4 linked regions of the Notamacropus eugenii genome follow. The protein of the gene in region 1 purifies or fractionates together with the protein of each later gene. This does not show direct contact. Links are inferred from orthologs where the notes say so. Each region holds a gene or a part of one and is shown on either strand. Other genes may lie near its edges. The genes, in order: WWP1, SPART, PTPN14 and SMAD7.

Region 1 (7,598 bases):
TTTCCTTCCTATTTTTTTCCAAGGTAACATCATCCAATCACCAGGCTGCAACCTTGCAACCCAAATGTCATCCTGGATTCCACACTTTCACCCATATCCAACTGATTGCAAAGTTCTGTTTCTACCTTTATAACATCTCTTACATAGGCTCCCTGTGCTCCTACACTACCACCACCCTGGTTCATGATCTTATTACTTCATGCACCTGCTATTGCAATACCCTGCTGATTGTTCTCCCTGCTTCAAGTCTTTCCCCATTCCAGTCTACCCTCCACTCACCTGTCAAAGTAATCTTCCTAAAACAAAAGTCTGACCATGTCAACACCCCCTTTAACCAACTCCAGTGCCTCCCTATCACCCCTAGAATGAAATATAAAATCCTCTTTGACTTAGAAAGCCCTCCATAACCTGGCCCCTTTCTACCTTCCATTTTTTTTATACCTTACCTACCTTCCCCCCTCCCCCATGAAGAAACTGAGATCCACTGACACTGACCTCCTTTGCTGGATTTTTCCCCCTCCTGAACTTGACACTCCATTTCTGGATTCCAAGTTTTTTCAATGGCTGTATTCCACAACCTTAATTCTTCCTTCTCAACTACACCTCCTAACTTCCTTGACTTTCTTCAAGTTATCAGCTAAAGTACCATATGCAGCAAGAAGACTTTAAAGATTCCCCTTAATGCTAGTGCCTTCCCTACCTTAATGATCTCCAATTAGCTGTAATCTTGTTTGTACACAGAGGTTTGTATATGGTCTCCCAAATTAGACTGTAAGAACCTTAACAGAAGGGATTGTCTCTTGGCTTTCTTTTTATCCCCAGCATTTAGCAAACTGCCTGGCACACAGCAGGTGCATAATAAATGAGTTGACAGACTAAGGGCATGGAATTTCATTTTTGTCTTTCTTTCTCAACACGGGACACAATGGCTGAAACATGGTTAGTCCTTAGTAAATACTTGGTGACTGATTTATTGTAACTCAAAATGATGCTTTTGGAAGACAAAACCTTTTTTACATTGAGTTATAAAAATAGTACATTATAACCATACTATTAACGTTAAAAACAAAGGAATAAAATTTATGCATTATTTCTGTATCTCTTCCAAGGTCCAGGAACTTAAAAAAACTTACATAACTGTATTTCAATATAATTGGTTTTCTAACTAAATAGGCAGCGCAGGGGATAGAGCACTGTACTTGGAGTCGGGAAGTCCTGAAATTCAAGTGTGACCCTGGGCAAATCACTTAAAACTTCTTTCTGGCTCAGTTTCTTCAACTGTAAAACGAGAATAACAAGAATTCCTAACTCAAAGGATTGCTTTGAAGATCAAATGTGAAAAACATTTGTAAAGCCCTTAGGACTTAATGTCCAGCACACAGTTGGATCCTCATAAATGATTTTTCTCCCCACTCCCATCCCACCACCCAAAATGCTTGTTCCTCTTTCATACGTATTTATTTTATGCATTTAAAAACATTCTGAGAAGGGGTTTATAGGCTTTATTGGACTACCAAAGGAGTCCAGTGAGCAGTCCCTATCAGTTCACTATTAAGTTTAATTTTTTTAAAGCTAACTAGCTAGGAATTATTATAAAGGTCACTTCTATGAAAATTAACTTGTCATTAAGTATTTTGCTACTTAAAATCACCCAAATCAAAGTCTTTCTGAAAGTCACTTTCTTTTGAATGTTTGATACACTGTACTTCTGATTTCCCTGTTTAGTTTAAATTAACAGACTTAGTGGGGCAGTGTGAACCTAAATTAACAGTTTTCCACGTATGCCATTTTTCAAGAAGCTACAGACTAAAATAAACCTATATGTGCAGTACACACTAGATGTTTCTGGTTACAGAAGTCAAAATAATTTCTTTGTAAAGCTTCTCTTCTTCACACCTACCTCTAATGTACTTTATGTGTTATGTGGAAATAGAAATCACTTCCCGCTTTATTCATGTTTGCCTACACAACACAAAACATTTTAAAAGGAGAAATCAAAACCAGATTACTAGAAGTCCAGAGAAGCAGGAATGCCAAAGCAAATGGACAATGTTTCTTCGTCAATGTCTAAGACAACCCAAAGCAGACACCCCCAAAGAGCGCTCCGATGCCAAAGGGGTGATGGAGAAACGACACGGACGAAACATTGGGAGGGGGAAGGGAAAGAGAGAGGGAAGATGATATTGTGGAGATGAATAAAAACGGCAAGGTCATGGGGAACCGCAGGGTCACAGAAGGGGGTGCGCCAGGGGAACGGCGCGGTGAAGTCTGCGGAGCAACACCAACACGCCACGGAAAAATGCTGGGCTCGGGTGGGCGCCCCGGACATGGAAGGTGAGGAGATTATTAAAAGGGCGACCGAGGGAGAGGCAGAGGCAGAGACGGAGCAGAGAAGCCGGCAGGCAGCCCGGGACCGCGGGCGCACGAAAACACTCTCCCCGCTCCGGGACACGAACGCGGGCCTCTGGCGGGTCCCATTCAGGAAAAGACCCACGAACCCACTCGAGAAGGAGGACGAGCGCCGCCCTCCCCTTCCCCGGAGCCCTCCTTCCCGCCCCCTCCCCGCCTGGCCCGAGGGGGTGGGAGCACGGGGGCGGCCAGGGGACGGGGAGGGCCCGAGCCCCGAACCCCAGCCCGGCCCGCGAAGGGACGCCCGCTGCGCCGCCCGGGCCCCGCCGCCCGAGCCCCGCCGCGTCCTTACCGAGGCTCGCGGCCGGTCCGCCTCCCTCGCCCGCCGGCCCGGGAGGTGGCGGCGGCGGCGGCGCCTCCTCTTCCTTCAGTAGCCGGTGGCGGCTCTCCTCACCCCTCGGAGTCAAGGATGGCCATCTCCCAGCGGCACCCGCCCGGCGTCGGCCCCTCGGCGGTGCAGGCCGCCTGCAGCCGCACGGACCCACGGGCAGGGGAGACCGCAGACCTTGGGGCCCCCTTCCCCCCCACCCCAACCCTCAACCCCGAACCCCGCACCGCCCGAGTCCAAGCCCACACCTCCTTCCGCGGGAGCGAGCGCCGTCCGTCCCCTAGTCCGCGGCGCCGCGCCCCGAGAGCGCGTCCCCGCCCCCCGTCACTATGCCCGGGAGCACGCGCAGCGGCGCCCCATCCACTCCCCTCTCCACCGCACTCGGGAGCGCACTCAGAGGCTTTCCCCCTACCCCGCCGTCCTCTCGCGCGCGTCCTGCCCGGGAGCGCGCGGGGCGCCGCCACGGCCGCCGCGGACAAATCCGGGCTGAGCCAGAAGCCGGCTCTCTGAGCATGCGCAAGAGCTTCCACCGGGACACGGCTCCGAGTGAAAGCTTTAACTTGTCCTGGTCTTCCCAGCAGTGAGGGGGCGTTGGGGGTGGGGGGCGGAGGCCGTAGCGAGCGCTGAGCGGAGGACTGAACCTGAAGAGGGGCGGAGCTCCCGCGGAGACCCGGGAAAGGAAGCGGGGCAGAGCCGGGGCTCCGACTCTCAAGTTTGCCAGCCGGAGCGCTGGCTTCAGTTGGAGAAACCCGAGGCACGGCCCAGCGGCGGGAGCGGAAAACGAGCGGGACGTGACCCCAGGCCCCGCGCGAAGGACGGTGTCCGCCACCTCTGCTGGATCACCCCGCCCCCCGGGAGGCCCCAGGCCGGAGCACCTGGCCTCACCTGGCCTCACCTGGCCACGACCGGCGACCTGGACTTCAGCGGGATCGCTCCGCCAGGGGCACTCGTTCTTCCATCTGCAAGTCGAAAAAGCGTTCTCTTTGCAGATACTTGCGGAAGTTAAAGCCGTGGCTCCTTCCCTCCCCCAGCTTTGCGTGATGAAGGCATTCCTCCCAAAGTTCTGCGAACGACAGCCCCGGTCTGAGCTGCCTCAGCCGAGGCCTCTGTGGGAGAGGGAATGGGATTGAGGCGGCCCGGTGCACCCGCTCTTCAGAAATAAGGGAACAGCCCCAAGAAGGAATCCCCAACAAGCAGTGAGTGTGTGGTGGCTGCCCACGTGTTCTACCCGCGCGGCGTGGGCCCGGGCTGCCCCCGGGTGACCAGAGATCCCGAAGGCATTTCAGGAGGAGTGGAGCTCCACTTCTGTGGAGAAGAGAGCCCTGTCCGTGTCCTTCAGTGCATTTGCAGTCTAGGGGTATGGCGTGTTGGGGCTCAGGATTGCTAGGGGAGAGAGGAGGAAGGCAAAGTGCTTGAGTAGTACCAACCCAGTCTAGCGGATAAGAACAAGTTTCATGTCAGCCAGCTTAGCTCTCCTTCCAACCCTATTACACAGAAGAAGATTGGCAAACATGTAACTGTATCTGATACATTTTTATCACACTGTCCTAGTTTAGGAGACCACCCGAGCCCATTCAGGCACAGGTGCTACAGTTATAATAACACTATTAGCTAAAACGTAGTGTTTAAGGTTCGCAAAATGCTTCATATAGACTATTGATAGGGTACAGGCTTCTGGGAACCCCCTTGAACTCTCCTTGAATCTTCAGTGGATCTGGCCTGGCCCTAAGCCTTTCATTACCTCCTTGTCTAATTGCCTCTGGTTGCTTCCCATCCTTGATCCCATCAAAATACCGGTAATCTAGCCTAGCCCTCCTCTGTCTGTTAGCTCTGGACTGCCTCTGTCTGCTTCCCATCAAAATCCCACTGTCTTGGTTTTGACCTCTAATCAGCCCAGTCCCATCAAAGCCTCCTTAGACTTCTCCTCAAACCCTCTCTAAGCCCCTCCTCCCATCACCCCAGACTATCTGGCCACCCCTAGATTCCTCCCATAGCCTTTCTGTATATAAACATCTTGCCTCCCTGAAGGTGCTAAGATTCTATCTAGCTCGGATTCAGTCTGGCCCATTTGTCAATACAAGTGTCACAAATGCTTAGGTTCCTTAAGAGTCTACCAAATATGGCCGGTATTTAATAAAATTTACTTTTCTTTGGCTGAAAGAAGGCTTGAGTCGAATTCATTCAGACAGGACCTGGCGTGTTGGTATTTTGGGGTCCTAAGCACCCCTAAGCCTCAACACAATCCCATTTGATCCCCACAGCAACCCTGTGAGGGAGTTACTATAATTATTATAACTGGTATTTATATGACACTTCAACGTTTGTATTGTACATATTTTATCTCTTTTGGTCTTTGTCACAACTGTATCTTAATTGATGTGTTACTTGGTAAATATTAAGTTGTGGGTATAGTCACATAGGTATCATCATCATTTTAAAAACTAAGAAAATGAGGCTGAAAGAGATTAAGTGAAGACTAAGGTCACATAGTTGGTAAATGTCAGAGCAAGATTTCCACCCAAGCTTTCCTACTGCTATTGAATGCCTACATATCCAAGATGATGTGAATCAAACCGTGGGAGATTCTGTTTGTCAGTCCATACTTCAAAACCTCAGAGATCTGTAATGTCATCAGTATAGGTATATCCTTCTCTGCTGCAGAGTACTATACCTCTATAATTTAATAAATGGTATTTCAGAGTTGCCATGGCCAAAAATTCATCACTGTTTGGCCAACTAGATAATAGACCTCTCTAAAATTAGCTAAACTTGTCCTCTGACAACAGCTATAAAGCCCATCACAAGACCTATTCTTGAAAATTTTCCAGCTTCAAGTCCAACTTGAATCAGTAGAAATATAAAATTCCAGAGTTGGAACAGACTTCAGAAGTCATTTGGTTCAATTTGTTACATTTGAAAATGAAGGTAAACTAAGAGACAAAGTTCCAGGTATCATTAATTTATTAGTTAGGCCAACAGTAAACAATAAATTGGGTCTATGGTGTCTCAGTAACCAAAGACCTTGAGTGAGGACTGACAGGGTCTTTTGTAACAATTACTAAGATGACAGAGCAAAATCTTGAGCAGTACAGATGTGTCTTCTGATTGGCTATTGATGACATAGTCAGAATTAAGATTATATCATTTCTTTCTCCCCTTCTAAAAGCCCCTTGTTGTTATTCAGTTGTATTTGACTCATTATGATCCCATTTGGGGTTTTTGTAACAAAAATATGGGTGTGACTTGCCATTTTTACAAATGAGGAAACTGAGGCAAACAGGATTAAGTGACTTGCCCAGGGTCACATAGGTACTAAGTGTCTGAGGCTGGAATTGAACTCAGGAAGATGGGTCTCTCTTGCTCCTGCCCCGCAGCTGCCCCATTTACCACAACCAAGATAGGTGATTTGAGTCACAAGATAAAGATTCTCCTCAAATGGGAGTTGCTACAATAGCTTAAATTGATGAGATTTGACCTTTTAGGTTATTCAAGTTTCTTTGGAAAGTGGGTGATAGGTGGGGTTACAAAGATAGGGGTAATTACAAGACAAAAGGTTGACCAAGTTTCTCTGGGATGTGGTTAGTGGGTGAAGGAACAGTGAAAGGGAATATTAAATACATCTTGATTACAATTTAGCTTAATAGAATTAAAATAAATTTTCAATTTTACATTCTTAGTCAAAGAAAAATTCCCAAATATAAATTCAAGGCACTGTGTCAAGTATTATGGCTAAAAAGATTAAAATAAAGTAGACTTTGCTCTCAAAAAGCTTATCTGCTGCTGGATAAAAAAGCATATATACAAATAAATGAACACAAAATGCAAAACAGGTAAATTATAAAGTGATTGGAGGGAGGGGAGTGCGGAGGTTGAATAGAGCCCTAACAAATGGGAGATCAGGAAAAGCCTCGGATTTGAAATAACATCTGAGCTGGACCTTGAAAGGAGCCAGCGAAGTGAGTGAGGGCATTCAAGATGTAGGGAGAGTCTATGCAAAAGCCTAGAGGTAGGAGATGGAATGTTGTATCTACAGAACAGCAAGTGGGCCTATTTGACTGGCATGAAGAAGTTAACGTAAAATATCTAGAAAGATAGACTGGGACGAGATTATGAAGGGCTAAATATCAAGCAGAGGAATCTCTGAATTTTTATCTTAGGGGAAATAGGGAGTCACTGGAATTTCTTGATCAAGGAAATGACATGATTAGAACTTTGCTTTAAGAGTACCAATTTGGGAACTATATAAAGAATGAATTTTAGAGGGAAGAGACTGGAAGCAGATGACAAATTAAAAAGCTATTGCAACAATCCAATTGAGAATTGACGAGGAACTGAATTAAAGTGGTGGCCATAGGGAGTAGAGAGAAAGGGAGAAATATTAGAGATATTGTAGAAGTAGGATGAACCATTTATATAAACCACAAAGCACTCTTTACAGAAATAAAAGGAAACAAATAATTGAAGACATTCAGTGGTTGTGATTTAGCTTTGCCATTGTAATAAAAATGATGGCACTACCTAAATTAATATACAGATTTAACTTTAATAGCTATTAAAGCTTAAAACTACTAAGACATTTGGGACATACATCATAAAGCTAGAAAGAAATAACAAAATTTATCTAAAAGAACAAAAAGACAAGTGTCTCATGGGAAATACAATGAAGGAAGCATAACATTATTAGACCTCAGACTACATTGTAATTTAGTCACAATCAAAACCAGTTAAAAAATAGAAAAGTGGGTTAGTGGGACAAACTAGACAAGCAAGAACAGGAAGTGAACAAATACAGTAATCCAATGTTTAATAAACCCATGAACACAAATTACTAGAATTCCTAATTTGATAAGAATTACACTGA
Region 2 (7,965 bases), on another chromosome or scaffold:
GCCTTGGAACAATGGTCAAGCCAGTTATTGCCTGTACCTCAGTTTCCCCAAATAAGTTCTATGTACCTATTCCATAGGGTTGTGGGGATCAAATGAGTTAATATATATGAAAAAAATGTTTTGTAAACCTTAACTACCATGTGCTATAAAGTGCTATAAAGTCAACTATTATCCCCCAGGAATCCTACTAGCCTATTTAGGACCCTGGTTTCTAAGTTTGCAGTATGGAAGACCCTACTGTCCCTGGCCTCTAGCTTTGTATGTCCTTTATTCGTCTGACTTTCAGCTCAAAAGTCAATTGTCTTTGAATTCAAGTTCACATCACTTCCCCATCTGGTGATAATACTTAAGGAGAATTGAAGGGGAGGAGGGAAGAGAATAAGAGAAAGGCTGATGTTCAACTCTTTCCGTATGTTTGAGAATGAATTACAACTTCGTCTCGTATTTCATGCGTCCTTCAGATAATCTTACGAATCACACAGACATCAAGGGTCTAAGGCTGCATTTGGACTTGGTTCTTCCAGCCTCTTAAGCCCAGTGTTCCATCTACCATGCCACCTACAGACCAGTTTACATTAAACTAGGGGTTCTTAAACTTTGTGTGTCACAAACCTCTTTGGCAGTCTTCTCTCACAATGTTATGTTGGCTATGTTCATAATTGAAGGAAATGTTTAATTTTAGTGAGATGTTAATGAAAATGATGTAATTTTTTCCATCCAAGTTCAGAGACCCCCTGAAACCTATTACTTGGATTCTGTGGGAGTCCATGGTCCCAGGTTAAGATCCCTTGAACTAATCCAGGCTGATCCTTAATGATTTTGGTTAAAATGTATATGTCATCCATTGGAACACTTAGTAATTTTTAATATGCTGGTAATAGTGGATGACATTTGTTTACATAAATTTTTTTCTACAACTGTGCCAAATAGTCTGTATTAGGGAAAACTAAAGATAAGCTTAAAAAAGTTGAAGTTATTAAAAAAAAAAATCAACCTTTACACATTAACTGTTCAGAGGTTCAATTTCAATTTGGAATTATGCAAGAAAAGTCACTAAATTATTTACATCCTTTGACCCACAGATTCTACTACTGGGACTATTTACCACAAGAAGATTTTTGATAGGAAAAAAAGCAACCGATAGGCACAAAAACATCCCAGAACAGAAATGTTTGTAATAACAAAAAGCTGGAAACAAAATATGTGTCCAACAATGACTAACAGCTTTTATGAGATAGTGCTGAATAAAGAAAGCAAAGTCAAAAGAATAGGGACTGCCTAAAAGGTGAGGCACTAAGATTCTAGTCAGATACACTGTTTAATGTTATATCCGCAATATGGTTCATTTTGAAGGCTGCATCCTTCCTGTTTTTTGTTTAAAACATTCCTGTTTTCAGCGAATTGGCTGGCTAATATATGTAAGACGCTTTGAAAATATTAACATTATTTAAATGTCATTATGAGTGTTTGTTGGGGTGTGGTAAGTAGAAAAAAATGTATAAATAAAAATAAATTTACACATAGCACGTTGAGTTTTACAAGGTGCTTTTTCATGAAGGCGGCAGCCGGTGATGTGCTGTCAGCCCCATTTTCTAGGTAGATAATTTAGGCTTTGCAGAAGCCGATTCACTCAAGATCAGCCATCTAATAATTCGCAGGTCTAAACCCGGTGCGCGTTCCACACTCCTGCAGCTTCCAATAGATGTTGCTTAAATATTAATTTTATGATTAAAAGCAGCAAAACTTCCTTTGCTTACTTCCACTTCCAAGTAAGTTCTTCATAAAATCAGTACACCTGCTTCATTTTGATGATTAAAGCCAGAATGACAAGGTTCGAGACGCTGTCCTTAGAATAACGCCTCCCAATGAAATCCAAGCGGTTCCTTAACAGAACGTACAATAAACGCGAATGCACATCTGGTGGTGCTCCTGAGGCTTCTGCCCAGCCTCAAGCGCGTCCATCAGGTCACCAGGGCAGAAACGGGAGAACCAGGGAGGGGGCTGCTCCCTGCACCACAGGCCCACTAACCACGACCCGGAGAAGCCCAGCAGGCATCCCCGACGGGCCGAGCGTCCCCCGGAGGTCCCCCCTGGTTCCAGGTCTGCTACATTGTAAACCCCCGAAGGCAGCGCTGCCTGGCCTCTCTCCGCAGCGCTAGAGCTTAGCACGCAGGAGGTACTTAAGAAAGGTTTAACTGCATCACCAAGACCAACCACCGGCACCAAAGATCCTGCTGGACCCAAACAGGGGTTTATAAAGATGGGGGCGAGGGGGGGAAGGCCGTCCGCTGGCTGTCCGTGGCTGAGCAGACAAGGAAGCAGCCCCCAAAGGGCTGACTACACCGGATCCGATGCCTACGCGGTAGGACAGTCAGCTCGTGCGCACAGCCCTGCTTTCCAGAACTGGGCAGGGGCCCGGGGCCCGGGGCGGGCGGGGACGCAGGCGCTGACTCAGCAGTTCGGCACGCCCCTTCCTGCGCTCCCCCCTCCCCGCCCCCCCCACGCATACACACGCGTACCCTCACACACTCCGCCCGCGTCTCGTCTGGCTCTACGCCAGAAACGGGCGCCGGCTTTTACCTGTCCACCCTCGGGCTCGGCTGCGCCGGCCCTCGGAGTCGGAGACGCCAGCCGGCTGCGGGCGGGCACGGACCGGCCGGGACCCGCCGCCGTCTGAAGGGTGCAGCCCGCACGCTCGGGGTGGGGGTGGGCGGAAAGGCCTAACTTCTCCGCGCTCCTCTCCCCCGCCCCGCGGGCAGGCCGGGCTCGTGACGTCCGCCCAACCAGCGTGCTAGGGAGGAGGGAGGAGAGGCTCGACCCAGCACCCCGACACCCTCGTTCTCCCGGCCTGCTCACTTCCAACGGCCCTCCCCCAGGGCCCGCGGGTTGCTGGCCAGCTCCCCGAAACCTGAGCTTTCCTCTCGGGTGTCACCCACCCGGCAGGGTTTCCCACACGCCCATCGCCCGGTAACCTCCGCCCCGTCTTGTAGCCTTTCTCCGCTCCAAGCCCTTCACCCCCAAAGACCGCTAAAACCCTCACCCACGGCTGGGACTAGGGTGAGGACCGAGACGAGCGAGCGCGCGACTGGACACTGAGCGCGAGAACCAGAGCCTAAGCCTGGGCAGTGGCTTCGGCTTTATTTACTACTGACTCGGCCTAGGCCTCCCACAACCCCGCCCCCTCCTTTCCCAGGCCCTTTTCCCCTCGGCCTGCTTCCCCCCCCCCCCCCCCCCCTCCACCCTCCGCGCAGGCGCCCTGGAGACTGCTGAGCCTAGCTAGGGGGCGGGCTCATCCTGGACCGCTTGGTCCTAGAGTGCAGAGCTGCAGTCCCTGAGTGTCCGAAGTAGAACAGCGAGCGATCATCTTGGGCCGCTAGAGGGCGCCCCTGGCAAAACGGGCAGCGCGAGGCAGTGGTAGGGCTCTAGCTTCTCCGTTAGGGGGCGGTATTTTAAAAATAGTATTTATTATTATTTGTTTCTTGGGTTGTATTATAATTAATATATATTTTTATTTATTACGTATTTAGTATGTACTATATATAATGTATAATTATTTTTGATATTTATAGTATAGATTTATTTCCATATATTTTATTATATATTATATATTTACATTATATTTAATTATATATTATATATTTATGCCTATATTAACTATATATTATGATGATGATGATAGCTTGCCTTTATATAGCTCTTTTAAGACTTGGAATACGCTTTAATCTGTTTAATACAAATTACCTATTTGTACATTATTGTACATTTAGAAGATACATATGTATAATCTATACATGTTGGTGCTCTATTGCTTTTGCTATAAATATTTTGTGTTTTTAAGAGGAAGTTGTCAAGTTAGTCTAATACCTTGCAGATTTTCTGAATGAATAATTACAATTTTAAATAAAACATTCCCCTGGAAAGGGTATCACCAAGTGTTAGAGCAGGTTGGGGACATCAGGGCACCCATTGACATTTACTGGCTTTGTGGCTATGGGAGTGACAGCCTCCCCTGGGTCTTGATTTCTTCCTTGTTGTGAAGTAGGTATGTAAACATTATAAATTTTACAAGCATTGGTTTGTACTATGTAAATGCCAGTTATCTTTACAGAAATTAAAGGTAAACTAGATTGTATAAATTAAGTGTTGCCTATACATGCTACCCACCTTCTGACAGAGAAGTTATGGATTCAGGGTGGTGAATGAGATGTATATTTTTTGGGACATGAACAACACAAGGGTTTTTTTGTTTTTGCTTTTTCTCCAGGGAGAGGGAGAATTGATTTTTGTTCATTGAAAAAAAAAATTTTAAGTGGTATCTTCAGAGTGTCAAAAAATCTTAGTAAATGAAAAAATTAGGTAATTTTCCTTTTAATTAAAAAAAATTGTAATGTCATTTGACTAGGAAGGGGAAAGAGTAGAATTTACTTCCCTCAGAATTTTCTGTTTCTTCAGCGTATCTCAAAATCTGCAGTATATTTTAGGTAACAGATAGACCTCAGTGTCCTACAGAGAAAAAATAATCTTCCACCATTGATCTAAACGTTTTCAGATTTGATCCTTTCAAGAGATATTTTGAAATTGTATTGGAAAAGCATAGCAATAGAAAGCTCTTTTAGGACAAAGATGGGGCTTGATTGAGTCACTTTACCCGCCTCACTTGACAAGATGTTACCTGCTAATACTTTTGACAGTTTGAATAAGGTAAAACCTGTTGAAGTTGCAGGAATGTACAAAGAGTACTGGATTTAGAATTAATGGACCTGGTTTGGGGACTAGCCTTCCTGGGTGACCTTAGGCAAGTCAGGCTCTCTGGGCCTAAGTTTATTTATCTATAAAATGGGGCAAATAGGACATTACAGGACTGCTGCCATGATGAAAAAGCACTTCGTAAAATTTAAAAGTGCTATATATAAATTTATATTTTCAGTTGACAAAACTTTTCCCCTTTTTTAGATTTATTGGTACATTTTGTTTCCATTTATAATATCCCAGAAACACTCCTAATGATGATTTTTAAATAACATTTTAGCATTTTCAAAGCATTTTACATGTATCATCTAGCAAATCTGATGAAAACAGGAGGGATAGTCTTCAAATTTGAACCATACTATGGTTCTAACATTGAACAGTATTTGACTAGAGTTTTGGTGCCTCTCACCATACCTTTTTAAACATTGTAGTCCTTGAAGTTTTGACTTTGCTTTCTTTACTCTGCATTGTCTCATAAAAACATTAGCCATTGTTGATCACATATTTTGTTTCCAGCTTTTTATTATTACAAATATTGCTGTTCTGGAATGCTTTTGTGCCTGTGAATCTTTTCTTTTCATCTATAATGTTCTTAAGGTAAATAGTCCCAGGTAAAAGGATGTAAATAATTTAGTAACTTTTCTTTGTAATTCCAGTCAACCATAGCCTTTAGTCTGGTGTGAAAATTCCTTGATCAATTTAAAAGTCATTGAAAGTCATTAGATTAAAGGGAGTGCCTCTATCCTGAAAGTATTGGTGGTCTTTTTTTTTTAAATATACAACACATATATAACTGCATATACATATTTCATTAAATATTTCCCAATCATCTGTGAAATTTTTTTGACATTAATTTTTTTTTAATTTTGAGGTCCAAATTCTCTCTCTCCCTCCTATCCCTCTTCTGTCCTTGAGAAAGCAAGCAATTTGATGCTGATTAAACATGTGAAGTCATGCAAAACACATTTCCATATTAGCCATTTTGCAAAAGAAAACACATACACACACACACACAACACACCAAATAAGCAAAATAAAGTGAAAAAACGATGCTTCAATCTGTATTCAGAGTTCATCAGTTCTCTCTCTGGAAGTGAATGGCATTTTTCATCATGAGTGCTTTGGAATTGTCTGGGATCATTGTTGTGATCAGAATAGCCAAGTCTTTCACAGTTGATCATCCTTATGATTTTGTTACTGTGTGCAATGTTCTCTTGGTTCTGCTCACTTCACTTTGCATCAGTTCATAGAAGTCTTCCCAGGTTTTTCTGAAATCATCCTGCTCATTATCTCTTAAGGTACAATAGTATTCTATCACGATCATGTAACACAACTTGTTCAGCCATTTCCCAATTGATAGGCATCCCATCAATTTCCAATTCTTTGCCTTCACAAAAAGAGTGGATATACACATAGGTCCTTTTCTCTTTTCTTTGGGATACATACTGGGTTACAGGGTAAACATACACACAGGGGAGCCTTTCTGGAGAACAATTTGGAACTATGCTTTAAAAAAGCACTGATATCACTGATCCAGTGATATCTCTTCTAGGCCTATGCCTCAAAGAGATCACATAAAAAGGAAAATGTCCCAAATGTACAAAAGTATAGTAGCTCTTTTTGTAGTCACCAAGAACTGGAAACTAAGGATATGCTCAATTTGGGAAATGGCTAAATTAATTATGGTATATGAATGTAATCTTATTTTGCGTAAGAAATTATGAACATCGTTTCAGAGAAACTTGGAAATAATGAACTGATGTAGAATGATGTAGAACCAGGAGAAGAGTTTATACAATGATGATGACATTGTAAAGAGAGGCAACTTTGAAAGACTTAAGAACTCTAGTCAATGAAATGACTAACCATGATTCCAGAAGGCCAAAGAAGAAAACCAAATTAGTAAATGCATAAAGTACTTAATATGTGCAAAGCAACTGTGCTAAACATTAGGGATACGAAGAGAAAAGTAAGAGAACTGCTGCTCTCAAGGGGCTCATGTTCTAATGGGGGAGGCAACGTGTATGGAAGTTCTCAGCTGCAAGCCAGATAGACAGGTCCCATGGTCCTTAGGGCACTGAAGCAAGGCATATTATAGTATCTTTTCTTTAATGTTTCACTGATAACAATCCTATCAGTTTCTGATGTAGAACCATTCAACAGTGCCAAGGACTTTTGTGGCAAGAATTTACTTTCTGAGTCTTCAGAAGCTATAGCTGTAAGTACCTATAGGAGCAATTGCCAGGCTATATCCACAGTGGTTTCTTCCCAGAGTGGTGGATGTGGCCATGGGACTGAAAGCAATGGTTTTCTAAAAGCTCTTGGGTTCCAGATCCTGGACTATTTCCATCAAGGTTTGAGAGGAGATAGTATTCATTCACAGTCCAACAGAGAGGTAATGGACTTTTGGGGGAGGCATCTTGTGATTTGTTTTTCCTGAGTATTTTATAAAAATCTGCATACTTACTATAAAGGGTAGGGTTTTTTTTCCTTTTAAACTGAGGGGGGGGCAGGGTAAGGAGAAAAAATACATGCCTGATAACTTTTAATTAAAATTTTAAATTAAATTTTAAAATTTCAACTTAATTTAAATTATAAAAAAATCCCACTTATTTTTGGGGGTCCAAAAAAGTATATTGCTATTCAGAGATAACTTGATCACACCCTGTGGGTGATCTATAAAATAGCAAGCCAATTCAGAATCTCATAATTCAAATGTATAGCAATATCATGGGGAGAGAGAGCCATTCTGACCTAGTCCCTCAGAAGGAATTGCTTTTTGGGGAATCAAGAGCAGATGGGGAAGAATTCCAGTCATCACCCTGAGTGGTGATAACTTAGAGTACTGTACTACAATCTGATATCTGTAGTTATTTCTTAGTTGTTAGGAGATATTAGAATACTCATCATCAACAGATCTGACTTTCTTTCACTGTGTCTCCAGGTGCAGCATCCTGACTGGCTTATGTTATCATAGATCTTATCAGGGCAATGGATACTAGATTTTTTTCTACTTGTCACACTGGTAGAATTTGTCTAGAAACCAAATGTTATTGGAGTAGTAGGTATAGGTTTCACATCTACATAAGTAGGTGGGTAGCACTTTACTTGTAAACTTCATTGACTTTGTTAATACCTTATTCCTCCCTGCTTGTGCTTAATCCATAATGAATGATGCTAATAGTAGATATTTCCAATGCTAGCACAAATTAGAAG
Region 3 (7,862 bases), on another chromosome or scaffold:
GCGTTTCCACTAGAGTGATGAAAATGAGAATAAACTGGAGGGAATGAATTTGTGAGATATTTTGGGGGTGGAATTTCTAGGATTATGAGAGCTGAAGGAGAGAAAAGGGTCAAAGATAACCCCAAGGTTATAAACATGAAAAAAAGGTTGGGTGATGGGGTAAAAGATAGAAATTGTGCAAAAAAAGTAAGAGAGGACTGATAATAGGAAGAAAGACAATATATTCTGTTTTGAACATCTTCAGTTTGGGGTAGTGGTGAGACATTCAGTTGGATATCTGAACTCAATTGAAGAAGCAGATATGAAACTCAGAAGAGAGGTGATAAAGACTTGAAAACCATGTGACAGACCCTTGAGGTTAGATCAAGAAGAGATCAAAAAGGAGTTGAGTATCCAGGGAAGGAGAAAGAGAAGAAATAGAGAAGTAAGAAGCAAACAAAAATATAAATGTGTCTCTGAAGCATAGGAGTCAGTACTTCCGAAAGGAAATGGTTAACTTGGTTAAAAGCAGTCATGTGCTGGACTCATCTTCTACCTGGATCCAATTTATTTTTCAGTATGAGCATTTAGACTTTGGAAATCAGTAAATGCAATCAGGCTTGATTTATTGTTTTTGTGCTTGTCTAGACCTAAAAAGTGACTGAGAAAATGTTAGAATAGATGAAACATAGTGTGTTTTATGTTCATTCCCCTGACTAGAAAGCTGTTTGTTAAACATTTACTAGCACACTCTTGGTGAAAAGGCAGAGGGAAATCAAGTAGAATTCCACAATCACAAGGTTACTGGTAATCTTTGAGAGAACAATTTCAGAAGAATCAGAATGTAAATGGTAGAAGAGAAATAAAGAAATGGAGATGCTGCATATAGCCAACTTTTCAAGAAGCCAAGTAATGTAGAGGAGTGTGGTGAGAAGACAGTATCTGAATGGGTTAAAAAAATCCAAAGAAAGCTTTTTTTTTAAAACTTTAAGTTAGGGAGACCTAATCATATTATTAGATAGTTTGGAAGAAACAAGGGGAGAGGGGGTAATTGAAGATATTCAAAGGAGAAAAGGGATGAATGAGGGATAAGATAAGAAGGGGCTGGAATGAGGGGGCAGTTAGGCAGCACAGTGGATAGAGTGCCAGGTCTGAAATCAGGAAGACTCATCTTCCTGAGTTGAAATCTGGGCTGTGTGACATTGAGCAAGTCACATTACGCTGTTTTCCTCACTTTCCTCATCTGTAAAATGAGGTGGAGAAGGAAATGACAAACCACTCCATTATCTGCCAAGAAAACCTCAAATGGTGTCACAGTCAGACATAACTGAAACCACTGAACAACAATAACTAGAATAAGGTCCTGGAGGAAGTGAGAGAGAATGTATGTAGGGAACAGGTAAGGTTAGCAGTTCTTAACCTTTTCTGTGTGTTATGGCTCCCTTTGGCAGCCTGGCAAAGCCTAGAGAATCCTTAGAAGGTTTTAAAATTCATAAACCAAAATACATTGGATTACAAAGGAAATCAATTTTACTAAAATAGTTACACATATGTGTGTATGTGTATATATATACATATATGCACATACATACATATACATACGTGTATATATATATATTTATATGAAAAATCCAAGTTCACAGAACCCAGGTTAAGCACCCCTGAGGTAGAAGATTATTCTTAGAGATGAGGACTTGGCAATACTTTTTCTGTGACCAAAGGAAAGGAGAGAAGGGGATATGATGCTGCCAAGTACTGAAGAAGGAGGAGGGACTTTGGGAGAGGTCATAAGTTCACAGATTTAGAACTGGAAAAAATCTCCAAGGTCACCTAGTCTACAAATGTCAAACACAGGGTCCCCAGGCAGCAAGCAGCCCAAAACACTTCTGAGAGTGATCTGAATCACTTTCTATCTGATTCTAATGCATTGGTGTATTAAAAAAAAAGAAATCTAAGAACATGTATGTTTTTCTAAGCTAATATGGCACCTGAAGGGATCTTTATGCATGATTAGTGGCTCCCATTTCTGTTTGAGTTTGACACCAATAACTACTTCATTCTCATCATCAGACAGAAAACTGAGGGACAAAGAAATAAAGTGATTTCCCAAAGTCACAGAGGCTGTAAGTGATAAAACCAGGATCTCAAATCCAAGTTTCCTGACTCCAGATATATACTCTTTCCATTACACCACCATATTACCTCAGTGTTCCTACTGAGTGCCTGGGATATACATAATAGGCACTTAATAAATGTTTATCGATGAACTGACTCAGAAGCAAGATTATATGCTGTAAATGTGAGGGCTTGTGGTGTAGAGAGGAGGAGAGAAAGCTTAAAATATACTGTGGAAAATAAAAATGGAGAATGAATAAAAGATACTGAAGGAGGGTGGATCACTATCAAAGGTCCAGTTAAGGTTATGTAACAAATTTGTAGTGGTAGTGAAGTCAGCTGTTTCATGATTTTTCTACAGCAAAGGTCTCATAATGTAACCTCCCTTCTCAGTAACCTCCAGTGGCTTCCTATTGCTTCTAGAATAAAATATAAGTATCCTAGTCTTTAAGGTATTTAATCTCCTGACCCCTTCCTAGTTTTCCAGTCTTCTTAAACTTTGCCTCTCTTCAAGCTCTCAATCTTCTGGCCACAAAGACCTATTTGTTCTTCCTTGAGTACTATACTCAATCTTCCATAGCCATACCTTTGCATGTCTCTCCCTCATGCCAGGAATTCTCTTTCTCCTCACCTCTACCTCTTAGTTCCCTTGACTTCTTTCAAGACTCAGTTCAAATCCTGCCTTGTGTAAGCAGACTTTCTTTCTCCACCCGCTGGTAGTGCCTTCCCCCACATGAAGTTATTTGTATGTATCATGTAAGTACTTATTTATATGTGGTCTCTCCTTATAGAATTAGAGCAGTAAGGGAAGGGACAGTTGTTCCCTTTCTTTGTATTTCTAGCATGCTTAATAACTGTTTTAAACTGATTGACTGATTACCTCAATCTATGCTTTGTGACTTTGGAGCTGGATCAAACCATTGGACTGTGGGGATGAAGATTCACAGGTCTGGAATGGCAGTAGGTGTGTGGGTGGTGGGGTGGGGCGGGTGAGGTACACAAGATTCTAGGGTAGTAGCGACAGTAATAGTAAGCAAATAAAGCAGAGATCGGATAGGAGACTAGGAATGGGTCAAAGAACTGAAAGTCCTAATTAGGCTAAGGAACAGGCTTAATGTAATAGTTGGAGAGGTGGAAGAATAGAAAATTGTGATTAGATAATGATCAGGGGATATTTGCTGTTTCTCCTTCCCCCTTACCACCCAAAGTATAAGAAATCTGAGAGGGCTCCAACCATCATTTTAGTCTCAAAAGGTCCGGACTTGCCCAAGGTCGTAGATTTAGTCAGTGTGGAAGGGCCAGGCCTATAACTGTGGTCAGGGCTTCTTTTACCCGTCATACTGCTTTACTTCAACATCACCTCCAAAAGATTTAGGGAAATACTCTTCCAGTGCCAAGCCCACGGGTGGAGCAATTATGTGGTACCACATGATCAGGAAGAAAGATACATTCCATTTATGTTTCTATTTATATGCATTTTTTATAAGCGGAGGGGGGGGGGTCGTCAAGGAGACTAGGTCCTTGATGCTCTAAGACCAATCTGGCCGAAAGCCACTAAGCATGCTTAGGATACAATGGTCCACTGCTTTCTCAGAGATGCTCTCTTCGGTGTCAGATGCTCCTGGAAGCTTGTGCGTGGGGTGACCAGGCACAGGGTCCCCTTAAAGGGGGGTATATTTGGTCTCTCCCAGAGGGTTTGGTCAAGCCCCTCCTGTAGCTCCGCCCCTCAGGGACGGAGGTGGGCTTTTCTTTCCTGCACTTTTGCTGCAACGTTCTTCCAGCTAGGGTATTTTTTTCCCCGTTTCCATTCTGAAGCTTATGACTCTTGGATGGTAGTTCACCTCGACCTCTTCTCACTATCCCCACCCTCCCTCCCCCCTCCTAAAAGCAAAATATTTAGAAGTCCCTGGACATCTACCGGCCCTGCAACAGGAGCTCCAGCAGCCCCACATTCCACGGATTCCTGCTCTGTGACGTCCCCAAGGCCAGAGCTCAGCGCACTGAGCAGGCTGCTTCGGCTAGGGAGCTCCAGCTTCGTGTTCCAAACACACGCAGAAAGAGACACACACACACAGACACACACACACACAGACACACACACACACAGACACACATACACACACACAGAGGCGCGCTCACAGAGCAGCAAAGCCTACACCCTTGGGACTCCTCTTCGGGCCACATTCCATTCCGCCCCCCACCGCGAGCCCCTTCCCTCCTTCCTCCTCCCGGCACCCCAGCGCCTCGGAGTCCAGCCGCGTTGGGGGGTGGGGGCGCCGCTGCCCCCGGCGCCTGCTTCGCCTTCTCTCCCCCAAGCGGCCCCTTTCCTCCCTCCCCTCTCCCTGCTTGCATTTCCTGCAGCTCTCGCTTGCTTAGCCCACGAAAGTCAGGGCAAACTTTTCCCTCCCCGGAGTGCAACGTGAGCAGCTCTTGGGGCAGGTTGCCGTAACTTTTTATTTTTGCCTCCGCCCCGCCGTCCCCTCTTCCAACCTTCAGTCCTCCTGGGAGAGCAAACACAAAGTAGCTGCTAGCGGGCCCTCCCTCTGCCTCCCACCTCACCCCATCCTCTCGGGCCTTAAGCCTTGGGATCTCCCGGCCGCGGAACAAAACCCACACTGGATGACTAGGTTTCTCTTCTCACTCTCCTTCCCCCTTTCCTTCTCCGGTCCTTCCCTTCCCTTCCCTTCCCTTCCTGGACTCTCCTCGCTTGATCCGAGCGGAAACCTCCCTCCCCTTTCTCCTCCTCCTCCAACTACTTCCCCCCTCCCCTTCCCAAATCAGCCACTGTAATAAATTCCTTGGGGAATTGGAGCTTCTGCCGCCGCCGACCTTTCCGTGGGGGACTCGGGACCTCTGTCCGGGGGGGACGTGTAAGCAGGTAAGTGTGGGGGTCCGTAACACACAGCGTGTTGGCTGAGGCTTGGAGCTCCGGTGTCCGTGCCTTTGCTTGGAGCCCCAGAGGGGCTTTGGGAGGCTGGCTTTCAGCTCCGCCGCTGCTTGCAGATGACTTTGGCAAACACTTGGAGAGCGAACTTGCGTTCTGGCCGGCCACAGACCAGACGGACGGACTGACGGACGCCTCCGCTGGTGCAGGAGTTGGCTGGCCAGTTGGATTATTCTCATAGTGAAGGCACAGAGCTTGCCTGGTGAGGGTTGGAGGTCGCCAGGGGTCTGATCAGCCGAAACCTCCTTCAACTCCTTTGAGTTTTGGGGGGAAGGGTTGCCTTCTGAAGATATCCACGTTGTTGGGGGAGGGGGAGTGATAAGGGATTTAGAACGTTCTCTTCCACTGAGGGGAGGCAGACTCCTCTGGTGTGACACCCCGCCGCCTAGCCCACTACGGGGAAGCCCGGTGAATAGAGAAGTTTCTTCCTGCCCCTCACTAGGCCCCATGTTTGCCAACAGCTCTTTTGGGCCCCGTAGCCCGTATCTTTGAAATTTGTCTGGGACCAAACTTTTTCTGGCTCACTCCTCCTCTTCCAAAAAAATCCCCCACAAAACGGATTGAGCTTTAACAACTCCTTCCTCATTGGAAAACAGTTTTTAGGGGGACACTTTGCTGGAGGCTTAGCATCGTCTCACCTGGAGGGAGCAGAAAGGTAAAATGTGCTGTCCACCTAGCTTTCTGCCCCCTTTTCTGTTTGCTCTCTGTAAGGCGAGAACTCAGGACGGAAGCATGGGGTTCTTACTTGTTGCTTTCCAGTGGGGACGTCTTCTAGTTCTGCAACCAAGGGCTCTTGCAGCAAGGATATTTGACAGTGTACTACTTTTTCCTCTGCGGATCAGTTTGAAAAAGAAATGATGGTTCTTTCCCCTCAACCATCAAATACAGAAAGAAAAAAAATACCCAGGATAGAATAAATCAAGATTTAGTAACCACAGGAAAATTCAGTCAAGTAGGGGCTGAGTTAAAGGTTAGAGGTCAGGAGAAGCCTTTTTCTCCAGTGATAGAGATGACTTAGGGCACAGACAGATTTGAATCAACCTGATGAAAGGGACTTTTATGCCCATACGTCCTCAGGTGTGGATTGAGCTCTACTATGGGCTGCAGGTTGTCGAGGTTGTCAGTAGCTGCGTTATTCCACCTTTCCTTGCGGTCACCTTTTCTTAGAGCGGTGAAGTGGCAGGTTGTAGCAGCAGTGGGGACTTTGCTACTGCTCATCCATTTTAGGAGTAAGCCCAATGGCTTGCCTATTTTGTGTAAGCACTATAGAGATCAAAGAACATCTGAAATGTACTTTTGCCTTTGTCATGCATTGGTGAGAGTGAGTGCTTTGTCAGTAATGCTCACTCTCTTCTCACTTAGAAATGCTATGGTTATTGCTGCAGCACAGTTATAAGAGCCACTTTCTTTTTCCTGAAACTTTATTAGGGACGGATTGATACATGTAGGAAGTTGAACAGAATATAACAGCTTTTTATGCTCTAGCCTGATATTATACTGTATAAGGTCGCTAATTTAGAAGGTTATTATGGTATCATAATAAGTGCAAGTGTCAACTTGTAGCTTGTTTTTAAATGAACTGCTCTTTGTAGGGCTGATATCATATGTCACCATATATAATGTGTACATACACTCATATTTACATACACTATATGCATTCCACAAGAGGGGGTGGGGTTAAGAGACTTGGGCAGGTTCATCAGACTGATAATCAGCTAGAGTTAGCCATGGAACTCTGCTCTTTTTGATTGTCAATCTAGTGCCCTTTCCTGTGTAACATGCTGCTTTTATTAATAGCACTACTATGATTAGTGCCTGAGTCTTGTGCATGGTGGTTGTGCCATGCTAGTGTTTGTGATTTTATTTCTATGCATCAGGCATCTGACTGGGAAAAATGTGTGGTTATTTCTTTTAAATAACCACTTGTGTTTGTCTTTGCCTCTCCACCTACTGGTGAAGATTCTCCTTGAAGGTGTATGATCTGAGTGGTTGGTGAAGACAAGTCTTTCTAGCCAGTTATACTTAAAGTAGACATTAAGTTTAGACAAACATTTCAGTTGCAGGCAGCAGCATGTAAATGAGCCAAGAATGGAAGAGCCTTTCAGTACACTAAAAAGATAACAGAAGTTTCAAGTGTCATAAAGACTTTAATTTTTCTTGAATTGTTAGGTGAGGGTGAGATACTGAGATGAGTTCCTCTTATATCTTTATTTTCTTATTGGAATCTAGGTCTTTTTGAATGGGATTAAAGATATTCAGTTGAATATCCAGGAGCTGGTTGTTCAGTTTATGGACTACCTGTGAAACCTTCTGTTTCTTTTTGGTCTGGACTAGTAATGTCTTTGATGTAGGGAACTCTTGGTGAGAAAGCTCCCTTTATCACTGCACAACAGCTTTGCTTCTCTACCCAGTTATAGTCTTAATTTCTCAGTGCCTCCAAGCATTGAGGGATGAAGTAATTTGTCCAGGGTCACACAGCATGTATTTGTTAGTGGTGGATCCTGAACCCAGGTCTTCCTGATGGCAAGGTTTGGTTTCTATTCAAAACACTACCTACTTCTCCCTTGTTTCTTTTCCTTCATCCACATCCTACTCTATTATTTTAGTTTTGTCTGTAAGTATTCAACAAATAAAATGAATTCCAGAGCTTTTATCACCTGAGGAAGGGAAGAGAGACAGGTTGTTGCTCAGTTGTGTCCAGTGGAGGCCAGATAAGTCTTCCTGACTCCATGGTACTCTGTACAGGAGCCAGGAAGACCTGAGTTCTGACCGCAGACACTTCCTAGCTATGTGACGCTGGGCAAGTCACTTCACCCTGTTTGCC
Region 4 (6,834 bases), about 160 Mb from region 1:
CACCCCTTCCCCTTGGAAGACAGGCAATTCAATATAGGCCAAATCTGTGTAGTTTTGCAAATGATTTCCGTACTAGTTGTGTTGTATAGGACTAACTATATTTCCCTCCACCCTATCCTGTCCCCCATTACTTCTATTCTCTTTTGATCCTTTCCCTCCCCATGAGTGTCAACCTCGGATTGCATTCTCCTCCTCATGCCCTCCCCTCCATCCTCCCCCCCACCCTGCTTGTGCCCCTGTCCCCCACTCTCCTGTATTATGAGATAGGTTTTCCTATCAAAATGAGTGTGCATTTTATTCTTTCCTTTCGTGGAATGTGATGAGAGTAGACCTCATGTTTTTCTCTCGCCTCCCCTCTTTATCCCTCCACTAATAAGTCTTTTGCTTGCCTCTTTTATGAGAGATAATTTGCCCCATTCAACTTCTCCCTTTCTCCTCCCAATATTTCTCTCTCACTGCTTGATTTCATTTTTTTTTTAAGATATGATCCCATCCTCTTCAATTCACTCTGTGCACTCTGTCTCTATGTATGTGTGCGTGTGTGCATGTGTGTGTATGTACTCCCACCCAGTACCCAGATACTGAAATGTTTCAAGAGTTACAAATATTGTCTTTCCATGTAGGAATGTAAACAGTTCAACTTTAGTAAGTCCCTTATGACTTCTCTTTGCTGTTCACCTTTTCATGGTTTTTTTTTTTTGAACCCTCAAGAACAGTATTTCTGTCTTTATTTCATAATGCTTAAAGATTCTCTTGTAAATACTGAGCAGGGAACTAAACTGACACTCTGAATTGTCAAGGTCCAGATTCTTCCTTCCCATCTCCATTTCTTCTGTGTGTAACAGCTATATTTCTGATTAAAACTCATAATACTTTGTTGTGGCTGACTCTTTGTGACCCTATTTGGAGTGGTAAAGATACTAGAGTACCATTTTCTTTCCGAGCTTGTTTTATAGATGAGGAAACTGAGACAAACAGGGTTAAGTGACTAGCCCAGGGTCACACTGCTTCTAAGTGTCTGAAGTCAGATTTGATCTCAGGAAGATAAGGAGTCTTTCTGACTGCAGGTCAACACTCTATCAACTGCACCACCTAGTTGCCCCAAACGTGCCAAGCTACTTCATTAGACCTTAGAGTTAGAAGGATTTACAATGGGGAAAATTAAGATCCAGAGAAGAAATGACTTGTGCAAAGTTACATAGACCTGAGATTCAAATTCACATGTTTTGATTCCAGATCCAGGATTCTTTCCACAATGAAAGAGCACCTTTCCTATTTCCAATGAAAAGTTTAATTGAAACACATAGCTGAGAGAAACATGTTCTCTATTGGTATATAGGCATTCTATAGACTGATGTACCTATGCACAGCTTCCCAGAAATGTATTTAGATGATCTCTGCTAGAGAATGATCACACAACATAAAAGGATGTGTTTGAGTTATTTAGTTTTTTCACTCACACCTAATTCTGTCCACCTTTCTATGTGCAAGGCAATTTGAAGTTACTAAAATATCTGAGATAATCTCTTTAATCTCAAACAGTTAACAGTCTAGTAAGGGAGATATAAAATTCTTGCTTTTTAATAACAACTTAAAGTTAACATTTCTTGTTCAGTCACATGAAATCCCCCCATTTTGAATGTTTACTTTTTAAAAACTCATACTACTATTTGTTCCCTGTACATGTCAAGTAGGCAGCTAGGTGGCGCAGTGGATAGAGCACTGGGTTTGGACTCAGGAAGACTCATCTTTTATGAGTTCAAATCTGGTACTTACCAACTGGGAAACTCTGGGGAAGTCACTTAACCCTGTTGGCCTCAGTTCCTCAACTGTAAAATGGACTGGAAAAGAAAATGGCAAGCTACTCTAGCATCTCTGTCAAGAAAACCTCAAATGGGGTTATGAAGTCAGACATATGTCTAAAGTCAACAATGTATGTCAAGCATGCTAGTTTTTTAAATCAATAAATACTAGACATTACTAATGTTTGTATATGAATTTGAAAATATCAACTGTCACCTCCTCAAAAGAATCTTTTCAGATCCTCTTCCCCAAGCTTTTTGCAGACCTCCACACCCAGACATTCCTTTGAATTTTATACTTAATATTTACTTATCTATGTTCTTCTTATTTTTCCCCTTTAGAATACAAGCCCATGGAGGGTAGAAAATATTTTAATATTTATCTTTGTATACTAAAGGGCCCCGTGAAACTGCAGTAGGAGCAAATGTTGGTTGAATTGAACATTACTCCTGTATAAATGTTTTATTAAGATTCTCTGAATTCCATGTGACCCAGGGCAAATCACTTAACCTTTCAATGCCCCAGGCAACTTTCTAAATTACTGAGAAGGTGCGGACCTGCTTTGGAAGTGGGAGTTCCTTCCAGGAAGCCCCTACCCAGATAAGATCAAAAGTCCAGTCCAAAAAGGGGGGGTAGGGGGTTGGGGGAAATCATCTGGATGTTCAGTTCCTCACTCATCACCAACTTACACATTTATTAGGGCTGGCTGTCTAGGTGGTGGAGGAGTAGATAGCACCCCAGGTTTTCGGTGTCTGCAGCACTTAGTATAATGTCTGGCATATCGTAGGCGCTTAATAAATGCTGCTAGTTGACTTACTGAAGAAGTATGGAGAAGATACAATTCCTGATCCTCAGCATCATAGTATCTAAGAGAAACCATCACCATCCATGTCACTAAGGGCATATGTTGCTATATGCATGTCTCCTATAGTGCCATACATTTCAAGGCAGCCGATTCAAGCTTTGGTTACGTTGTGTTCGTGGGGGTTGAATGTTGTGTCTACATATTTACTTACGAAATAAGAAATTTGCAGGTCACTACATCCAGCCTCCCTCCATTCACCCACCTCTTCGTGTTGGGAGTTGCCAAAATCCGCTACAAGCCCCACTTTACACTTCACAACCCTAAATACATTCCAGAGCTGTTCACAATACACACTTCCGATGTAGTTACCGAAACAAGAGCGTGGAGGAGACCGAAAGAAGACTGAGGTCACATTCTCGTCCGGCTCCCCACCCCTAGGCCAGAGCTCTGCTCGTTCCCCTCCAGTGGAGACTTCCTGGGGCTCCAGTCCAGTCTAGTTTTAAATGACTTCTTAAAAGAGGACAGAGCTCCCCCCTCCTCCCTCCGGAGACTGCTGGGCAACAAACCCAATAGATCTCACGGTCAGGACTCTCCATCTCTTTAAATGAATGAAATGGGTTGGGGAGGGGGGCTTAGAGGAAAGATTGGGCCGGAGGGGTACTGTACAGGGGCAACGAACACCCAGACTAGTCTGCTGATGCAAACCCATTCTTGAGTCCTTTTTTTTGTTTTGCTTTTAATATTTTCTCTTTGCTGTAACTCTTCCAGCCGACCTGATTTTATATATGTGTATGTATGTATATAGATAGATACCTATACGCATGCACGCACATATATAGGGAATCAGGTGTTTTTTTCTCTCTCCACCTCCTCTTTTCTTCCTCTCTTTCTCTTCCTTCTCAGTTTCTCTTTCTCTCTCCCCCTCTCTCCCCAGAATTCAGGAGGAGGGAGTAGGAAGGGAAAGCAGGGGGGGGAGGGTGGTAAGGAGAAGAAAAAGAAATAGCTTTTAGAAACCCGATCTGTTGTTTGCGAAACACAATCGCTTTTTTTTTTAAAGCGACAGGGTGTCTAGACGGTCACGTGTCCAGGCCGGAGCCGGGCGCGCCACTGCGCAGTGGAATCAGCGAAGCAGAGAGAGCCAGGGCGAAGTGGGAGGGGGGGTGTAGGGGAAGGAGGAGGAGGAGGAGGAGGAGGAGGAGGGGCGGGGGAGGAGGAGGAGGAAGAGAAGCAGGGGAGTGTGTGTGCAGCAGGCGGCGAGCTTCAGACACACATACATACATACACACACACACACACACACACACACATGCATACACGGGAGCTAGGTCCGCGAGTAGAGCGAGGTGAGAGCCAATACCGGCTGGAGGCAGAAGCTGTTCGGAACCCTCACTGCCCTCCTCGGCTTCCCGGAGTCTTCCCCTCCCCTCGGGATTGCAAAGCACCGGAGCCCGGCTCCAGAAGCCAAAGGCAAAGACTAAGAAGAAGAAGGACACCCCACATTAAAAAAATATTCCCCTCTGCCTTCTCCTGCGAGGCAAAGCCTGCTGGTCCCCTCCCTCCCCAGAAGAAGAGGGGAAAAAAAGGGAGGAGAAAATAGGAGAGAAGAAGGGATTCCAAGCTTTTTTTCTTGCTGCTTGCTGCCCGGCGCATTGAGAGGAAAATAAAAGTCGGAGAGGCCAGAGAAGAGAAGGAGGCGGAAAGTAAGCAGCCACCCTCGAGGGAGCCCCGAGCCCAGACAAGCGACTGCCTGCCGTGCTTTTTTTTGATCTTTCCTCCTCCTCTCCTTCTCTCCTCCTCCTTCTCCTCCTCCTCCTCCTGCTTGCTTGCGTGTCTGCAGCCGAGGCGAGGAGCCTGGGCGAGGAGCAACCCTGAGAGGAGGAAGACACGGTTGCAGTAGCATTTGCTAGAGAGAGCCAGCCAGCCTGCGAGCTAGAGAGCGAAGCCGACGCCAGTCTCACCTCCTGTCAGCCTCGGCATCACCCCCCCTCTCAGATCTGTTTTTTCTCTCATCTCCCTCCTGCAGCCGTGGGGCCTGGAGGAAGTGGGGACTGGGTCGGGGCGGGGGAAGCAAGGCTATCCCTCGGAGATCCACCTCGGAAAAACCAGGAGAGCTAGTGAAGGCTGGTGCAGTTTTTTTTTGGAGGGGAGAGTGGGTGGCTCTTTGTTTTTTTTTTTTCTTCTTTCGCTGAGGTGGTGTTAGGAAGGAGGAAAGACGAGAGGCTCACTTAAAATAATAATCAGACGAGCATGGTGGAAGAAGCCGATTCAAAGCTTCCTTTGGATTAAAAAAAGATACATATACACATATGTATATATCTTTGGCAGAAGAAAAGGAGAGGAAGAAGAACCGAGCTCCTAGAAGAAAAAAAAGGATGTTAACTCTTGGATACATTTTTTTCCACCAAAATTTTTTTTTGTGATACTTTGTAAACGTTTTGTCGCCCTTTTTCTTCTCTTTTTTGAAAACTCCGACACAACCGGACGTCCCCGGGGCTGCGCCTTGCAGTGGTGATTGTTTTAAATTTTTATTTAGAATATTTGGGTTCCCCTCCCTTTTTAATTGAAAAATAATTTTTTCGTCAGGCACCTCATGCGGGGTGAAATTCACTTTCTTCCCCTCCCCCGAACCTTCGTGTGGATGGAATTCGTGGAGATCCGGTTACTAAGGATATAGTGCAAAAAAACAAATTAAATCGCGTGCCTGCCTTTTTTTTTTTAATTGCCAGCTTCTCCTCACCCCCAAATTAAGTTGCTTAGAGAAGGGGAAAAGAGCATTTTCTCCTGATTCAATCAAAGAAACAAAACCTTAAATTTTCCTTTTCCTGAGGTTCTTAGCCTCAGTAAGGAACTGAGGCTGGAGGTGCTGACATTCAAAAGCTACTCCTCTTCGTTCTGCGTTTGGGGGGCAGTGAGGAGAGAAGGAAGAACTACCTCTCCTGAATCCCCGTTTTTTCTCCCTTTTCCTTTGTATCTTCCCTTGGTCAGCCCGGTCTGTTTCCTCGGCGGGGCTGGGCGAGACGACCTGAATTGGGTGCCAGTGGAGCGGGGTGGGGAAGCCGGAGAGGAGCGGTCCCTCCCCTGCCAGGCCCCCCCAAGCCCCCCCACTCCCTCCGGGCTCCGAGAGACTGGCGCATGTTACGGAGCGTCCCTCCTGCCGCTGCCGCTCCTGCCCGGGCTCTTGCTGCTGCTGCTGCTGCTGCTGCTGCCGCCTGCGACTGCTGCCCCAACTCGGCGCCCAAATTCTTCATGGTGTGCGGAGGTCATGTTCGCTCCTTAGCCGGGAAACGACTTTTCTCCTCGCCTCCTCGTCCCGCATGTTCAGGACCAAACGATCGGTGCTCGTCCGGCGTCTCTGGAGGAGCCGTGCGCCCGGCGGGGAGGACGAGGAGGAGGGCGCAGGAGGAGGCGGAGGCGGAGGAGGAGGAGGGGAGCCGAGGAGGGAAGGGGCGACGGACAGCCGGGCGCATGGGGCTGGAGGAGGAGGCGGCGCTGGTAGGGGTGGCTGTTGCCTGGGCAAGTCGGTCAAAGGTGCCAAAGGTCACCACCACCACCATCACCACCACTCCTCCTTGGGCGCCGGCGCTGCCGGGGGCTCGGAGGCTGAATTGAAGGCGCTAACCCACTCCGTGTTGAAGAAACTGAAGGAACGGCAGCTGGAGTTGTTGCTGCAGGCGGTGGAGTCCCGCGGGGGAACCCGCACCGCCTGCCTCCTCCTGCCTGGCAGAGTGGACTCCAGGCTGGCCCTGGGGCAGGGGCCTCCCGCGTCCCCTCTCCAGACTCAGCCTACCCAGCCTCAGCCGCCGCCGTCGTCTTACTCGCTCCCCTTGTTGTTGTGCAAAGTGTTCAGGTGGCCAGATCTCAGGCATTCCTCGGAAGTCAAGAGGTTGTGTTGCTGTGAATCTTACGGGAAAAACAACCCGGAGCTGGTCTGCTGCAACCCTCACCACCTTAGTAGACTCTGCGAATTAGGTAAGGAGTTTTCACTTGCTTCAAGTAAAGCTTCTCCCCTTGCCAGTGATGGAGCAAACAGAATTGGGGTCTATACTTTTTACAACTGTGTGATTGCATTCTTTTCACCCTGCATTGCTAGTGGGGAAAATGTGTGCTTATAGTGAGGATGCATTGTAAGGGGATCCGGGGGCTTGGACTGATGTGTACTGTGCCTTCTTCCTTTTCTCCACTCTTCAGGCCCGTGAGTATGATTTGGCGTGCATATTATTCATGCA

What was found.
Region 2: the proteins of WWP1 (region 1) and SPART purify together in Homo sapiens (affinity purification with mass spectrometry; 5 studies listed by BioGRID and IntAct, counting the BioPlex papers as one, with this or other methods). This does not show direct contact. The link is inferred for Notamacropus eugenii from reciprocal best matches to the Homo sapiens genes WWP1 and SPART.
Region 3: the proteins of WWP1 (region 1) and PTPN14 purify together in Homo sapiens (affinity purification with mass spectrometry; 3 studies listed by BioGRID). This does not show direct contact. The link is inferred for Notamacropus eugenii from reciprocal best matches to the Homo sapiens genes WWP1 and PTPN14.
Region 4: the proteins of WWP1 (region 1) and SMAD7 purify together in Homo sapiens (affinity purification with western blotting; 3 studies listed by BioGRID, with this or other methods). This does not show direct contact. The link is inferred for Notamacropus eugenii from reciprocal best matches to the Homo sapiens genes WWP1 and SMAD7.

What each region holds. Positions count from the first base shown.
Region 1 is NC_092875.1:168,486,702-168,494,299, forward strand, and holds the start of WWP1 (NEDD4-like E3 ubiquitin-protein ligase WWP1), read right to left. Parts: upstream 3,014-7,598; 5' UTR 2,702-3,013; intron 1-2,701. UniProt on the Homo sapiens protein: E3 ubiquitin-protein ligase which accepts ubiquitin from an E2 ubiquitin-conjugating enzyme in the form of a thioester and then directly transfers the ubiquitin to targeted substrates.
Region 2 is NC_092876.1:206,168,828-206,176,792, forward strand, and holds the start of SPART (spartin), read right to left. Parts: upstream 3,012-7,965; 5' UTR 2,962-3,011; coding exon 2,937-2,961; intron 2,704-2,936; exon of another isoform or gene 2,520-2,703; intron 1,949-2,519; exon of another isoform or gene 1,783-1,948; coding exon of another isoform or gene 1,758-1,782; intron 1-1,757. UniProt on the Homo sapiens protein: Lipophagy receptor that plays an important role in lipid droplet (LD) turnover in motor neurons.
Region 3 is NC_092873.1:423,312,903-423,320,764, forward strand, and holds the start of PTPN14 (tyrosine-protein phosphatase non-receptor type 14), read left to right. Parts: upstream 1-4,857; 5' UTR 4,858-4,972; intron 4,973-7,862. UniProt on the Homo sapiens protein: Protein tyrosine phosphatase which may play a role in the regulation of lymphangiogenesis, cell-cell adhesion, cell-matrix adhesion, cell migration, cell growth and also regulates TGF-beta gene expression, thereby modulating epithelial-mesenchymal transition.
Region 4 is NC_092875.1:323,885,686-323,892,519, forward strand, and holds the start of SMAD7 (mothers against decapentaplegic homolog 7), read left to right. Parts: upstream 1-3,828; 5' UTR 3,829-5,922; coding exon 5,923-6,577; intron 6,578-6,834. UniProt on the Homo sapiens protein: Antagonist of signaling by TGF-beta (transforming growth factor) type 1 receptor superfamily members; has been shown to inhibit TGF-beta (Transforming growth factor) and activin signaling by associating with their receptors thus preventing SMAD2 access.